Linked DNA regions of Struthio camelus. The protein of the gene in region 1 interacts with the protein of each later gene in a biochemical or structural test. Links are inferred from orthologs where the notes say so. Each region holds a gene or a part of one and is shown in the gene's direction. Other genes may lie near its edges. The genes, in order: DGKZ and SNTB2.

What was found.
Region 2: the proteins of DGKZ (region 1) and SNTB2 form a complex in vitro, tested with the Homo sapiens proteins (2 studies listed by BioGRID and IntAct, with this or other methods). The link is inferred for Struthio camelus from reciprocal best matches to the Homo sapiens genes DGKZ and SNTB2.

What each region holds. Positions count from the first base shown.
Region 1 is NC_090946.1:40,031,487-40,039,543, reverse strand, and holds the start of DGKZ (diacylglycerol kinase zeta), read left to right. Parts: upstream 1-4,831; 5' UTR 4,832-4,955; coding exon 4,956-5,776; intron 5,777-6,766; coding exon 6,767-6,875; intron 6,876-7,625; coding exon 7,626-7,721; intron 7,722-8,057. UniProt on the Homo sapiens protein: Diacylglycerol kinase that converts diacylglycerol/DAG into phosphatidic acid/phosphatidate/PA and regulates the respective levels of these two bioactive lipids.
Region 2 is NC_090951.1:1,656,605-1,664,452, reverse strand, and holds the start of SNTB2 (beta-2-syntrophin), read left to right. Parts: upstream 1-4,611; 5' UTR 4,612-4,632; coding exon 4,633-5,092; intron 5,093-7,848. Other genes in the region: UTP4 (U3 small nucleolar RNA-associated protein 4 homolog), read left to right, coding at 427-543. UniProt on the Homo sapiens protein: Adapter protein that binds to and probably organizes the subcellular localization of a variety of membrane proteins. May link various receptors to the actin cytoskeleton and the dystrophin glycoprotein complex.

The sequences.
Region 1 (8,057 bases):
CTGCTGCTCTTCTGCCCTTCCTTCAGAGGTGTGTGTGCATCAGTGCTGGCTAGAGAGACTTCTGCACAGTTAGATGAGAGCTGGTGTTCCCCAAGGAAGTAGTAGCTGTACTCAGTAACAGGTTATTCTCAGACCTTTTTGCCCTTGTTCTCGTGAAGTTGCCCCCTCAGGCAGCTTCTGTCCCTGTTTTATTTGCCTGATGTAGGACAGATTACAACTTAGATGTAAATTTTAGGTAGAAACAAACTGCACAGAGTTTGGGAACTTGCTGATAATTGCTCAGCTCAGCTCAGCTCACCTCAACCAAAGCCCCAAGGGCTATAGCATGTCTTGACCCAGATGCTCTCTTCACCATCTGTGACAGGGACTAGTGGCTGATGCTTCTGAGAAAGGGACACCTTTCCTGGCAAACCTAATCCATGTGAGTTGCTCTTCCTTGTGTATTGGAGAGGGCTGACTGGGGAGCAGGGTTCAGTAGCTGATGCCTGGGAGCCGGAAGGGAGAGCTGGGACAGGATTCCAGCAGAGGTGGTATGGGGACAGCAGCATACATGGAAAGACTTGAGTATCAGAGCACTGAGAGCGGTAGTGCAAGCTTGTGGTGGAAACACTAACTGACGGCAACCTGTGGTATCTGAATGGAAGTGATGGGGCTGGAAAGGCAGCCTGGGATCTCTGTTGCTTCTGGGTCCTCTCAGGAAGAGACCAGTTCACTGGAGGGGGGGTGAAGGGATAATAATGAAGGGGAAGGACTGAACAGACATGTGGCACAGCATCCATGTACACAGATAAGAAGGTCACAGAGGGCTTGTTCAGTACAGTACACCGGGGTTTGCTTGAGGCTATTGGAGCAAAGCAGAATTACAGGAGCTGCATACCAAGAAGCTCTCCCTACCACGGGCAAAGCCTGTGCCTGAGGGACGAAAGTTCATGTTCTGGCCTTGGAATCAGCTTTTCTGGTTTTGGAACTACCACCGCCATGGAAGGGATGTGTGCTGGATATTTGGGTGGCTCTCTGGAGAGCAGGGTCCCCTTATCAGCTGATCTACCAGCTCTGCATCTACTGAAGTTATGAGAGGCAAGGTTTTTTTCTTAGATCCCTGTTTGACTTTCCAGGGCATTTAGATCCTTCCACTGAGATTAGCTCTATCCTGAGAGTAACAGCTTGCAGCCTTCTCTGAGCACCCAGACAGCTTCCTGCAGCCCCTCCTCAGCTCTCAGGGGCAGCGCCACTGACTGTCCATGGTCAGGGGTGTGTTCCTGCTTCAGCGGTATCTCTGCTCACTGATGCTAGGCTGGGAGCACAGGCAGGAGGTTGAGGCTGAGGAGCACTGAGGGGTCAGGTTAGAAAAAAAAAACTCCCAAAAGCTCCACTTGCACACCAAAGCTGCCGACTCCTTCCTCATTCACAGAAGCAGATTGTAATGATAATGTAAAGCTGCCTGTAAGTAGAGTTGATATGCTAGTGTGTGCAGCATTATTTCCTTTCCTTTCCTTTCCTTCCCACCCTGCTAATGTTAGACTGCCTCCATCCAGCCTCCTTACCTAACTCAACTGAGCGATGCAGTCTGCAGAACAGTAACAAGCACTGCTTCTCATCCATCTTCACAGCTGAAAATAGTCTTTTAAGAGAAATCTGCAGATTCCAGAAACGTGCAAGTGTTGGGCCAGAAGCTTTCAAGAGTTAGCTCTGGTCAGGCTCCTTTCCCCGCAGTGCACGGTTCCCCTGCTCACGGCTCTGCCAGTGCACATCAGCCCTAGGCAGTCCGTGCCTCGTTGCCTTCAGGCGCCGTGCTCTGCCAGCAGCAGCTCTTAACACCCACGGTATAGCATTTGGCAGCTCAGGTTGCAAGTAAGATGCAAGAGATAGGATGGTGAAGAACTTCCCCATCTGAGTTGCTGCATGGTGCCATTATGGGCTGTCAAATGATTTCCCGATAATACCCTTCACCACTGGTGACTGGAACAAGAGAGTGTGCGCCACTCTCTGACAACCTTGAAGATTAAAAAAAAAAAAAAAAAAAAAACTCTAATCAACTAGTAACCAAAATATAAATGTCAAGCAAAGGTTGTTGAGGCAAATTTCCTCACGAGACCGTGGTGCAAAAAGGAAGGAAGCCGTGTTGAAAGATCTTTCTGCCCATAGCAGCAGCTTGGCCAGCAGCACATCAGCCTGAATGTTGGTGGAATATCTGGGGCAGAAGAGGGCACCAATTCAACTCATTCGGGATGTAGCCTGGCAGTACATCTACCCTAGCAAGTAAACATGATCAAAGAGAGCTTGTTGCGGTTTGCCACTCCCAGGCAGTGTCCTCTGTTGTTTGTTAACCCGTTCCATTTGTTCAGACAATTTTTAAGACTATTGTTGATAATCCAGTTTACTGAGGTATCCTATAAATTGTGGGGAGAAAGGACAAGACTAGCATATTGCAGGGTCAAGGATGGGCTAGAAGCAGAGTGATCAGCGGAACTTGCTTATGCCATCTGCGAAGCTGCGCAGGCCTCGGCGGTACGATGGTTAAATGTGCTAGTGATCAGTTAGCGCTTGACGTATCTGCATCGCTCACTGTGGTGGAACTTGAGAAATTCCTCTGAGGAGATGGCACTCTGGTTTTGCTTTCAATTCAGCAAGACTTTAGCTCCCCCAGTGCTGCTGTCCGAGCTGCAGATTCCTCTGTAGAGTATTGCTGTACTTTCTCCCCTCCCTAGGCTGCATTGCTGAATACAACAGTAGCACAGGGAATAGCAGTGAGACTACAGAAACTACAGAGCTAACTTCCTTGCCTACCAGGCTGGAGGGGAATGAACCATGTCTTGTCCTCTCCAAAATGCAAACTTGGCTTTATAGTCTTCTCTAAAAGAAGCAGAGGTACAGCCCAGTGGGTTGCTTGCATACAAGCACTAAACAAAACTGCCTGTTTATGGTCCAGAAAATAGCACCCGTGTGCTATCTTAATGCGTCTCCCAAGCAAAAAGGGAAGCATCTGTCTGACAAATCTGCCTGTTCCCATGGCCCTCAGGGCTGTTGAGGTTTAGGCCAGGCTGTTCTGAAGGTCTTTAGTACTGCTGACCAGCAAGTGACCGCATAAGAAAGCATGAGAAGAAAGGAAGACAGAAGTGAGCGCAGCTAATCTTAGTGCAGTGGTGAGTGACGTGCCTGTACGCTCACGATGGGTAGAGGAGCAGCCTTTTACAGCACGGAGAAGTTGCTGGGAGTGACAACGGTGGCTTGCGTGTGCCTGCAGGCTGCCCTAATTTGGAGGCCCCTGGCTCTGTAGCATTTGAGGCGCCAGAAAGATTCTACCAAGCTGTGAGTGTCAGTGTTTCTTGAGTTGTCCTCAGATAAACCCTCTCTGTTTAGAGGTTGAAGACAAGCAGTGGCTGGGGGGTCAGAGGAGAAGCACTTTGCTTAGAGCAGAGGAGCACTGGAATTAGTCAGCTTCGGTCTCTTCCTTTTAAACCTTTGCATGCTAAGCTGAGAGTGCTTAAACCAGTGTTGTAGCAACTTCCATCTGTGGCCCAGCGCTTTTCACGAACAGCTGTAATGTCCTGGCAACGAGTTAGGCTTTGAGAGCTGGGCAATGAAAGCTCGAGAGTCATGTTAAAGCTCTTCCCACCGAGAGAGGGGAGTTCTGAGCAGGACGGACAGGACGATTTTCCTAGGCCACCTCCACTCCAGCTCCCTCTGCCAGCCTCTACCAAATCTGCCTGCCCCTCTTTTACTGGCCTTGCTTTTATTGCAAATTCGTAAGTCCTTTGTTTTCATTTGCATCAAATTCTGTGCGGTTGGTGCTTACACAGAGCGGTTACCACTGGAAAAACAGGAGGGCCAGCACCAGGGGATGAATGCGTGTGACTGGGGGTCGTGAGCAAGGGCTGATCTTTTCAAGCAGTACAGAGGCTCTTCTCCACAGGGTCGTCTAGAGGGGAGCTCAGCCTCTGCAGACATCCGAGTAGTCCAGTGGGTATTTCTGAGCACCTTCTCCAGGGTAAGCCTGGCTGTCCTCACCGAAGGCATCGAGTGCCACGTGCCCTTGTTCCATCCAGCTCAGCACATGAGATTGTAGGAAAGGCTTTGTTCCTTTTAAAGGGAGTCTCTTCTTAGCTGCTCCAAGTCAAGAAATTATCCCTTTAACACCTCCAGCCTCCTAAATTCACTGTTTTTTTTTTTTCTTCCCACCCAAAGCCCTCTGCAGAGAAGTAGCTGCAGGAACCAGCTATCATCCTAGTGCTGACAGGAGGCTACATTTGAATGCTGAGCTTTTTCTGTGCCTTACAGTGCTGGGGACTAGGAAATCTGAAGAGGACTGGACAGATTGCTGAGAGATTGGAAATGGAAGCTGTGCAGTGCAAAAGAGGAGTTAGGACTACGTTGATCCTGCAGTGATGAGCAGGGGATCTAGAGGGAACTAGGAACAGCACGTGATGCCTGCCCTGCCATCACAGCACCCTCCACTAAGCTGTGAAAATAAACCTAGAAACTGCCTTAATAAGAGGGAGAGCTTTATTTGGCTCTGAACTCAAGAGGAGAGGGTGCCTTGTGGCCCAGCTGCTCCTGCAGTGCCGTTAAGCAGTGAATAATGTGTGTTGTATACCAGAGGCCGGTCCCAGTCTTGTTGCTCGCTCTAGGTGGAGGCATCCCAGCATCCAGTTGTTTGCTCGTTGCTACCCCCTGAGCCACCAGACAAGGCCTTCACGCCTCTCCCCATCCTCCTTTTCTGCCTGTGTAGAGAGGGCTGAGGCAGGGAGAGGCAGAGCTCGGCAGCAACCACGTAGGTCTGGCAACTGGGTTTCCTGCTGTTTCACCTTCCTCCTGCCCTCTCTTCTGCTGCACCCTGTGAGCTCGGGGCCGTCCCCTGGCCCGTCACTGCTTTGGTCTTTGCAGCCTAGCCAGGAGGCTCTTTAATTGCTGGTTTCTATGTTAACAGCCACCCTTCAGGTGCCACCCTCTGTGCTATGGAAACCTTTTTTAAGAGGCACTTCCAGAGGAAGGGGCCCTCGGGGTCGCGGCGAGCCAGCGCGGTGGCAGTGCCCACAGGTAAAGCCAGGCGCCGCTCCCAAGTGGGCCTGCCCTCAGCCTCGCTGGTCCAGCGCCGGTGCAGGTCCGGCGCGCCGCTGCCGGCCCTCTCCTGCCTGGGCCGGCCCCAGCAGGCCAGCCCCGGCTCCCGGCGCCGCTCCAGCACCACACCGCCATGCCTCAGCCCCCGCTTCGCCGTGCAGAAGAAGCGCGGGGGTCAGGTGCGATCCATCGATACCCACTTGATGGGCCCTTCCATGCTCCTGGCCAGCCTTATCCAAATGAGAGAGGAGGGGAAAGGGGTGCCCTGTGCCGACAGCTCCGGATCCGAGTCGCTGGAGGACGGTGGTGGCAGGGAGGAGAGCGTGGCCGCCAGGGGAGCGGAGCCAGGCAGGCGCAGGTGGTGGGCTGAGGAGACCTGGCTCTCCATGCTCCCCGTGCTGCGGCCCCTCCACGCCAGGCCGCTGCTGAGGGGCCCCCGGTGCCTGCGTCGCAGATCCTCCCATCTCCTGCCCACCGAGTTCGTGTACGGCAGGGCTGCCTACGGCCTGCAAGGGCGCTACCGCCGCCTCAGCCAGCACCGGCGTTCGAGTGACGCCGTGGGGCCCGGGGCGCTGATCTCCCCGGGCCGAGCGCGGCTGCTGCCCAGGAGGTGGATGGCTGCAGCCGGAGCCAGGCGCCCTCCCGCTGCCCCCTCCGAGTGCCTGGGATCGGAGCCCGTCTGCCCTGCCGCCCCCGACTCCTGGAGCCCCAGGCTGCTGTATGTATGGCGGCGTGTGACGTTAGCGAGGCAGTATCTGAGAGAGGGGAGGTGGATGTGGGGCTCCAGGCTTGCCAGGCCGGGGATGGGGAAGGAAGGAAGGGGCAGGGGCTTGGCTTGGGTCTGAGGCCTTTTGTGCCACGTGGCCAGGGTCGGAGAAGGCTGTGCCAGGCCTCACCGCTGTCAATGTCTTTGCAGTGCTGTTTGTGTCTGTAGAGGAGAGCAAGGAGCCAGTCTCCTCCTTAGGTCACTGAGGGCTGAGGTAGTTTTCTGTTTGTCTGATGCTCTCACCGCAGCCCCTTGGGGCTTGCCACACGTCCCCTTCCAGCCGGTACAAAGTACCTCTGTATTCCTTGCCTTCTCCCAGCCCAGGTGTGAAAAAAGAGGCCAAGGCTCTTTTAGGGCTAGAGGTGGGTATTGTCTAATTTCTCCAGTTGACTAGACCTGTTGGTCCTTTCCTCCACCCTAACCTACCCGAAGGAAGCTCACCAGCTCCCTAGTCCCAAACAAGCTACTTTGCTTTAGCCGGTTGTGCCGGACTCTGAAAATGCCTCAGGCTCTGAGGTGCCTTTATATGTGGGAAGCTATGGGGAGCTGCACTGGGGCAGGGGCTCAAGGCTGCCCTTGCACAGGCAGCCCCACCTCTACAGCCTGGTGGAGACTGCTGGTGGGGTATCCTGGGCTGTCATGCAGTGGGCCTGTCATCCCTGAGAGTTTTGACCCAGCAGGTCTAGCCTGTCTTTTGCCGGATGTAGGATGTCTTTTGGTGAGTGTCAGCAATGTGGCCAGCACCTCTGCACCCTACAGGGACTGACTTGCCGGAGAGGTGATGTTCCTCAGGCAGTGGTCCTGGGGGATTCGCTGCACTTCCAGCTGCTTGGTTCTGAGGATGGTTTTCTTCTCCAGTATCACTGTCTATCCCAGAGGCAGGCTGTTCTTTGCGCACATTCCTCCTCTCCTGATCTAATAGGCAGCCCTCGTGTCTTCCAGAAAAGCTATTGCCAAATCCAGCCTCCAGCACATGGTAGCCCAGCCAAACCCTGCGCTAGCCCTGAGGAGCGATTCAGAGAGGCAGATACGCAGCACTGTGGACTGGAGCGTAAGTTGCTTTGCATTTTGCTGGGCATGAGGTAGGATGGGCTTTGAGACAAGAAGCAGCAGGCTCTTCCCAGGCCAGGGCTTCCCAGGTGACTTTGGCTTTGACACATTTGTGGCCTCCGCTGGTGCCAGCATCTGTGCTGCTGGCAGCACCCCTTGATGCTGCGAAGAGAGGCTATGCGGGCACAGGCAGTTCCCTGGGAGGTTGCACAGCTACTTAACTTCCAGTTCTTCTGCTCTTGGCAGTGGAAGTCTTCTGGCAAATGGAGTCCCTGGGACACAGGGCTCTCCTTGGCATATGGGTGCCAGCCTCCGCCCCAACCCTCCTCCTGCAAAGGCAAAGGAAGGGTGCAGGTCAAAACCTGCCTGAAGTCAAGGAACAGAGGCTGTTTCAGGAGAGACCCCAGCATTGAATTTGCCGAGGTGCCTCTTCTCAGGGGGAATAGAGGCAGCCCCACTGAATGGGACACAGCTAGGCTGTAGGTTTTTCCATAGGATCTGAGAGAGAGGAGAGTTGGTTTCCTGGGGGCCTCTCATTTCCAACAGGGTGGGCTGTGGCAGCAGCTTTGTAAGGTTTCCTCTCTGCAGGTGTTTGCCCTGGTGATTCTGTGCATCTTGTCTCCCTGCCTACATCTAGCCCCCCCAACCCCCACATCAAGTTGTCTTGTCCCTAGCACAAAGCATTTTAGGAGATCAGATGATCACTTATGGGTGCTCTCAGAGAAACACAGCATTGTCTTGTGCCTTTCAGGAGACTGCAGTCTATGGGGAGCACATCTGGTTTGAGACCAATGCCTCTGGGGATTTCTGCTATGTTGGGGAGCAAAACTGTATGGCAAAGCTGCTGGTAAGTCACCTGGGGTCACGCGAGTCCCCTGGCAGGATCCACGGATGCGGGCTGTGCTGCCACCTGGCGGAGAGACTGCAAAAGCACTGCTACTGCCTGGTGCTGGGGAAAGCATAGGGGGGCTCGGGGAGCTAGCAACGGGGAGGGACAGTGTGCTCTTTCTACCTATGTGTAGTGGAGGGCCTCACCCCTGGTCTGAGCCAGGGAAGCCATTCACTGTGTAACAGGAACCTGACACAAGGTTGCCAGCAGGCCGGAGGGGATGTTCCAGGGAGAGGCTTTGAGATCTCATGCGCTCAGAGGGAGAATCTGAATCCGCCTTCTCTGGAAAGACCT
Region 2 (7,848 bases), on another chromosome or scaffold:
CTGTCAGGATGCCCCGCTAGCTGGAAGGAGCCACAGGTGCAGAGGTGATCCTGCCACAGGCTCCCTCCTTTGCTGTTTCTGGAGCAAGATGCCTGCTGTCCTGGCATGGTCTGAGCGCAGCCTTCCTGAGCTGTTCCTCAACTCTGCTGGTGTCGTATGTGCTCTCAGTGCCCCAGCAGCTCTGAGTCTCTATGTCCCCATCACGGTGCAGCCGCTTGCTGTCCATCTCGCGGGCTCTGATTTTTCCCCAGCAGCTCTCTGCAGAGCACGTCCCTTAAGCGATGTCCCTGGTTAAGGTTAAGCCAGAGCTGCCTTGCAGCCAGCTCCACGTACGTGGTCGAACCCAGCAAGCTGAGGCAGGGCAAGGAGAGACATTGCCCTGTCCCTGGCAGGGCTGTCATCTCCTGTCCCCTCCCTGCCCTGCAGCCCCTGCTCTTTGCGGATCTGCTGGATGAGAACTGCCTTGTGATGGTGGAGCGGCCCCTCATGGACATCAAGACCCAGCTGCCACCACCCATCCAACAGAAGAAATTTGGCACCTAAGAGCAGAACAAGTTGCTCCAGCCACAAAAACTGTGTATGTTACTTTCCTAGGATGTTGTAGTAATAAACCCCGTTGTTCTGTAGGGCTGCGTGCTCAGGCATCATCCTTGCCCTGTGGGGCTCCCTGCTGTCTGAGCAGCAGCAGGTCAGATTGGCTCTGGCCTGAGTCTGAATCAGGAGCCAAGGACACCTTTGTCTCGTAGGACTCCCCTGGTCATGCCTGTCCTGCTGTCTGGGTTGCTCATTGGCAGCGACTGGTGACTGCGAGGGCTAGGCATCGTCCCAGATCTTCTACCTTCTCTGTGGCTGCTCTTCTGGGAAACGTCAGGCCCCGGCGCTGGTTTCTCTCTCCTGGTGCTGTCCCGGGCAGCTGCAAGATGGGTTTCGTGACTGCTGGTGGCTCTGCGTGGGACAGAGGGGGCTCCCATCCCCTCAAACAGCAGTCACGTTCACGTGTCCCGCCAGGCGGGAAGCCTAGTGAGCTGGGCTCCGGATGGACAGAGGGGTGCCGAGTGCCTGCTCAGCAGGGCAGGGACGGGCAGTCCCCATGTGCCCTGTCCTGACGCCTGTGCAGTGCGCTCCTGCTCTGCCTCGAGAGAGGGTCGGACGGGAGAGGCAGGGCCGAGCGGCTTGTTAGCGTTGTAGTCGTGCATGGCCACAGCCGTTTTTGCAGTGCTGGTGGGCGCAGGCTGACGGTGGGTGAGCTGCCACGTGCCGGTGCGTGGAGCAGCTCTCCTGCCCCTGGCCTTGGGAGGGGACACCAGGACCGGGGTGTGAATGCACACGCTCTTGCTTTGCAAACTTTTCCTCGCTGCTGTCGCTACCTCCCCTCATCGCTTGGCCCTCCTGCTTCCCAGCCCCTGCTGCGGAGAGGAGAGGAGAGCGCCCCATCTGGGTGGCTCGATCGGGAGGAGGGTGCTGGAAAGCTTTTGGCATGGGGAGCTGGCAACGCGCAGCCGCGGGAGGAGAGCTGGCTCTCCGGGGCTGCGGCGGTGTCGGGCGGCTGTCCCCGCGCTCGGGGCTTGGCGGTGCCTCCGGAGGAGGACGGGAGCGCAGTGAGGGCTGCTGCTGACGTTCTCCACGCCGAGCTCCTGCTGCAGGGAGGCAAAGCCCGGCCTGGAAGCAGCCAAGGGTATTTAGCCGTATGTGTTTGGGTGCACCGTCCTGCCCAGTTGCCCTCTCTGTGACAAGGCTGATGCTCGCCCTACCGTTTCAGGAACGGGTACCAGCCCCGTGCTGCTGCGCTGTCGTTTCCCTTCCCTCCTTCAAAGTCTCCTATTCCGGCCAGCTAGATTCCCCTCCAGCTGACAGGCCTCCCACGAAGCACCGTTGCAGTCCGTCTCGCCCCCGAGGCTTGCGCTGACCGGGCTGCCCCCGCTGCCTGCGTGTGGCCGAGGCCAGTCCTTGGACAGCAAGCAGCCTGGGGGCCGGACTGCCGACGGATCGGGGAGGAGGATCTGGTCACTGCAGCCTTGCGAAACTACAGGCTCCGAAAAACGGGGGCAATAAACAGCTGCCGGTTCAGTATCGTAGAAAAAAAAAGAAACGCGAGCAAAGCTCTTCTGTGGGGAGAGAAGATTTATGAAACGGTGACTCAGGATGATGTTTATTCTCTTGCAGAAGCTACTCTGCAGCGACCACTGTCCCTCGCGCGTGCATCTTCCCCCCGCACGCTGCCAAGCGGCCTCCCCTGGTCTCCTATCAGCAAGGCAGGGCCCTGGGGCGGCGGGCGCCCGGGAGCCGAGCGCAGCAGCGGCCGGGGTCCCCGAGCGGGCAGGCTGGCCGCGCTGCTGTCCAAGCGCTTGACGAACCCTGGGCGTAAATGAAGGTGACGGGATAGGGGTGTTGTGTAACGGGAGCGTTGCCCCCGTGCTGGTAACCTGCCGAGCTCGCCGGCGCCGGTGCGTTGCGGCAGCCACTCAACGTCTGACTGCGAAATCTTTGCTCCCCGCGCGAGTAATTCCTTGATCGGCCGTTGCGCGAGCAGGATGCAGGGACGCTGGCCCGCAGAAGGAAGTTGCTTTCCTGGGGGAGAGGATTTCTTTGGCGGAGTTCCCCCTAATGCTCTGGCTTCGCTCGCTAAAGCAGGAAGAGCTGTAGGGCTGGCGCGCTCCGTCCGCCCTCTCCTCGGCGTCTCGGCGGCCGAGCCGCTGCCTCCTGCGGGGACAGGCCAGCAGCTCGCCCCGGCCTCGGGGCCTGCGAGGTGGCGCCGGGGTGGCCGCGGGGCTCCAGCCCTGGGCGGCTGGTGGTGTCCCCGTGCCGCTGTCCTGCCGCCGGAAAGGCAGGCTGCGCCCGGGGCAGCGTGGCCCTGGGGACAGCAGTCCTGGCCCTTTGGGCACGGTGTGAGCTGAGGACAGCGTGGCCCTTTGGGGACAGTGGTGCTGGCCCTGGGGACAGTGTGGTTGTGGGGACAGTGGTGCTGGCCTTGGGGATGGTGTGGCCTTTTGGGGACAGTGTGGGCCTTGAGGGACAGCGGTGCTGGCCCTTTGGGGATGATGTGGCCCTGTGGGGACAGTGGTGCTGGCCCTTCGGGGGTGGTGTGGCCCTTTGGGGACAGCAGTGCTGGCCCTTTGGGGGTGGTGTGGCCCTTCGGGGACAGTGTGGCCCTTCGGGGACAGCAGCGCTGGCCCTTTGGGGATGGTGTGGCCCTTCAGAAACAGCATGGCCCCTTGGGGACAGTAGTGCTGGCCCTTGAGGGATGGTGTGGCCCTTTGGGGACAATGTGACCCTTTGGGGACAGTGGCACTGGCCCTTTGGGGATGGCGTGGCCCTTCAGGGGCAGTAGTGCTGGCCCTTTGGGGACAGTGTGGCTCTTCAGGGATGGCATGGCCCTTCGGGGACAGCGGCGCTGGCCCTTTGGGGATGATGTGGCCCTTCGGGGACAGTGTGGCCCTTCGGGGACAGCAGCGCTGGCCCTTTGGGGATGGTGTGGCCCTTCAGAAACAGCATGGCCCCTTGGGGACAGTAGTGCTGGCCCTTGAGGGATGGTGTGGCCCTTTGGGGACAATGTGACCCTTTGGGGACAGTGGCACTGGCCCTTTGGGGATGGCGTGGCCCTTTGGGGATGGCGTGGCCCTTCGGGGACGGTAGTGCTGGCCCTTTGGGGATGGTGTGACCCTTTGGGGACAGTGTGGCTCTTCAGGGATGGCATGGCCCTTCGGGGACAGCGGCGCTGGCCCTTTGGGGATGGTGTGACCCTTCAGAAACGGCGTGGCCCCTTTGGGGACAGTAGTGCTGGCCCTTGGGGGACAATGTGGCCCTTTGGGGACAGTGACTCTTCGGGGATGGCGTAGCCCTTCAGGGACAGTAGTGCTGGCCCTTTGGGGATGGCATGGCCCTTCGGGGACAGTAGTGCCGGCCCTTTGGGGGACAGTGTGGCTCTTCAAGGATGGTGTGGCCCTTTGGGGACAGTAGTGCCGGCCCTTTGGGGGACAGTGTGGCCCTTTGGGGACAGTGTGACCCTTTGGGGACAGTAGTGCTGGCCCTTTGGGGACAGTGTGGCCCTTTGGGGACAGTAGTGCCGGCCCTTTGGGGGACAGTGTGGCTCTTCGAGGACAGTGTGGCCCTTTGGGGACAGTAGTGCTGGCCCTTCGGGGATGGTGTGACCCTTCGGGGACAGTGTGGCCCTTCAGGGACAGTAGTGCTGGCCCTTTGGGGACAGTGTGACCCTTTGGGGACAGTAGTGCCGGCCTTTTGGGGGACAGTGTGGCCCTTTGGGGACAGTGTGGCCCTTTGGGGACAGTAGCCCTTTGGGGACAGTGTGGCCCTTCGGGGACGGCGGCGCCGGCTCGGGCGCGGCCCGCCCGCGGGCTCCCGCCCTGAGGAGCGCGGCGGCGGCGGCGGCGGCCTGAGGCGAGCGCGGGGGCGGGGCCCCACCGCCCCTCCCCGCCCCGTCCCTCCGCCTTACCCAATCAGAGCGGGGGGGGGGCTGAGCCGAACCCCGCCCCTCCGAGCCGGCGGGCGACCTATCAGAGCCCGCCATGCGGGCGACGGGAGGAGGGGGCGTGGCCTCGGGGCCGCCGAGCGCCGCCCCGGGGTGTGGGGGGGGAGGGGAGCGCGCGGGGCGGCGGCGGCGGCGGCGGCGGCGGGATGGCCGTGTGGACCCGCGCCTCCAAAGCGGGGCTGCTGGAGCTGCTGCTGCGGGAGCGCTGGGTGCGGGTGGCGGCGGAGCTGAGCGGCGAGGCGCTGAGCCTCACGGCGGAGCCGGGCGGCGGCGGCGAGGCGGCGGCGGCGGCGCTGAACGGCGTGGCCAACGGCGCCGAGTGGGGCGGCGCGGAGGCGGCGGCGGCGGCGGTGCCGGCGGGCGTGCGGCGGGTGCGGGTGGTGAAGGCGGAGGCGGGCGGGCTGGGCATCAGCATCAAGGGCGGCCGCGAGAACCGCATGCCGGTGCTCATCTCCCGCATCTTCCCGGGGCTGGCGGCGGAGCGGTGCGGCGCCCTGCGCCTCGGCGACGCCATCCTCGCCGTCAACGGCGTCGACCTCCGCGACGCCACCCACGACCAGGCCGTGCAGGCGCTGAAGCGCGCCGGGAGGGAGGTCGTCCTCGAAGGTACCGCCGCGTCGCGGCCCCCGCTGCCGCTTACCGGGTGTCCTGCCCCTCCGGCCCGGCCCGGCCCGGCCCCGTTACCGGGTGTCCTGCCCCTCCGGCCTGGCCCGGCCCGGCCCCGTTACCGGGTGTCCTGCCCCCTTGTCCCGTTACCGGGATCCTGCCCCTTCCCCCAGCCCGGTTACCGGGTGCCCCCTCCCCCTTGTCCCGTTACCGGGTGTCCTGTCCCCTTGTCCCGGCCCGGTTACCGGGTGTCCTGCCCCCTTGTCCCGTTACCGGGATCCTGCCCCTTCCTCTGGCCCGGTTACCGGGTGTCCTGCCCCTTCCCCCGGCCCGGTTACCGGGTGTCCTGCCCCCTTGTCCCGTTACCGGGTGTCCTGCCCCCTTGTCCCGTTACCGGGATCCTGCCCCTTCCCCCGTCCCGGTTACGGGTGTCCTGCCCCCTTGTCCCGTTACCGGGTGTCCTGCCCCCTTGTCCCGTTACCGGGTGTCCTGCCCCCTTGTCCCGTTACCGGGATCCTGCCCCTCCCCCTTGTCCCGTTACCGGCTGTCCTGCCCCGTTGTCCCGTTACTGGGATCCTGCCCCTTCCCCCAGCCCGGTTACTGGGTGCCCCCTCCCCCTTGTCCTGTTACTAGGATCCTGCCCCCTCCCCCGTTGTCCCGTTACCGGGTGTCCTGCCGCCTTGTCCCGTTACTGGGATCCTACCCCTTCCCCCGGCCCGGTTACCGGGTGTCCTGCCCCCTTGTCCCGTTACTGGGATCCTACCCTTTCCCCCGGCCCGGTTACTGGGTGTCCTGCCCCCTTGTCCCGTTACTGGGATCCTGCCCCCTCCCCCTTGTCCCGTTACCGGGTGTCCTGCCTCTTGGTCCCATTATTGGGATTCTGCCCCCTCCCCCTGCCCGGTTACCGGGTGTCCTGCCCCATCCCCGGATCCCCCCCCTCCTGCCCTCTTTCCCGTTACTGGGATCCTCCCTCTCTACCGGCCGGCTTACCGGGTGTCCCACAAGCCCCCCAGGCCACGTCCCGTTACTGGGGTCCTGCACTGCTTCCCTGTCCCCTCACCCCGGTCCTGCACTTCCCCTGTCCCGGTTATCGGGTGTCCTGCACGTCCCGGGCTTCCCTTCCCGTTACCGGGGTCCTGCCCCCTTCCCGGATCCCCCCTCCTGCCCCCTTCCCGTTACTGGGGTCCTGCCCCCTTCCTGGATCCCCCCCTCCTGTCCCCTTCCCGGATCCCCCCCTCCTGCCCCCTTCCCGTTACCGGGGTCCTGCCCCCTTCCTGGATCCCCCCTCCTACCCCCTTCCTGTTACTGGGGTCCTGCCCCCTTCCCAGATCCCCCCCTCCTGCCCCCTTCCTATTACTGGGGTCCTGCCCCCTTCCTGGATCCCCCCTCCTACCCCCTTCCCGTTACTGGGGTCCTGCCCCCTTCCTGGATCCCCTCCTCCTACCCCCTTCCCGTTACCGGGGTCCTGCCCCCTTCCTGGATCCCCCCTCCTACCCCTTTCCCGTTACCGGGATCCTGCCCCCTCCCCTGTCCCAGCTACCAGACTCCCGGCCCCCTCGCTGTTACCAGCTTCCCGGATACCCCTTGTGTCCTCGTCCCATTACCGGGGTCCCTGACACCGCCCGGGATCCGCTCTCCCGTTACGGGGTGCTGCACGCCCCCCATCCCGGTGACCGGGCACACGGGCAGCCCACGGGTCGTCCCCGGTGCCGGGACCCAGCCGGCTCCCAGTGGTGTCCCTGCCCGCCGTGGGGACGGGGACACGGACATCCCACCCCGGTGGCGGTGTCCTCGCCCAGAGCAGGGGACGGGGACGCCCTCTCCCGCCCCGGCATCCCTGCCCCAGCCGGGGACAGGGGCAGGACACCCCCCCGGGTGGGCTCCCCATGGCGAGGGGAATCACGTCACCCCGGGTGGGGGGTCTTGGGCTGCCCGCCGCCAAGCGGGACAACCCCACGGGCTTTAAAACGGAGGCCCGCAGCCGCGGGGAAGCCAGCAAGGCGGGGTGGAAGGAGCGTGCCGGCCGGCTGCCCCGTGCGGCTGCGCCCGCTGCTGCGGAGCACCCGGCTCCTGCTGGAGGTGAAGCACGGCCCGGGCTCCTCGGGGGAACGCTTTCCTTGCAGTTAGTTGTTCCCATGCCCGCACCACGGCTATTCTTGGAGTCTTCTGTTTTTATTAATTGTGCAATTTTGTGGCTAAGAGTTGCTGACAGCGTGAATTATCTGCTAGCGGAGGGGGTGACCCTTTCCTTTGCAACGGGCTTGGCTCCTGCCGCCCCTCTTTGCTGTTGCATCTCCTCTCGAGAGGAGGCCTAAGAAGCGAAACTAGCTGCCTGGCGTCTGGGGGAAGCTGGGCCAGAGAAGCTGCGGCCGGCGCAGAGGTGAACGCGGCGCCTTCGCGTCGGGTTTCCGTGTGCAGCGATGCCGCTCTGTGCGGCGGGGCCGTGCTCCGCGCGCGCTGAAACGGGAGTCTCCGGAGAGCGCCCGCCGGGCTGCCCGTGAGAGGAAGGGTTTGCGCGGGGGGGTCGGCTGCTGCGTGCCCGTGCCGTAGCCACCGCGTCCGGATCCGCGCCCGAGGCTGCGACGCTGTGCGAAGTCGGAGTCTGGCCCTGTGCGGGGCCGTGCGGGGCGAGCGCGCCCTCCTGTACCAGAGGGGCATAAAGCTCTGGCTTGCGCTCGGGGCTGGGAACCGCCCCAGCTCCGTGAGCTCGGTGAGACCCGACAGGCCCCTCGCCCACCCTGCACGGGGCGGGGGGG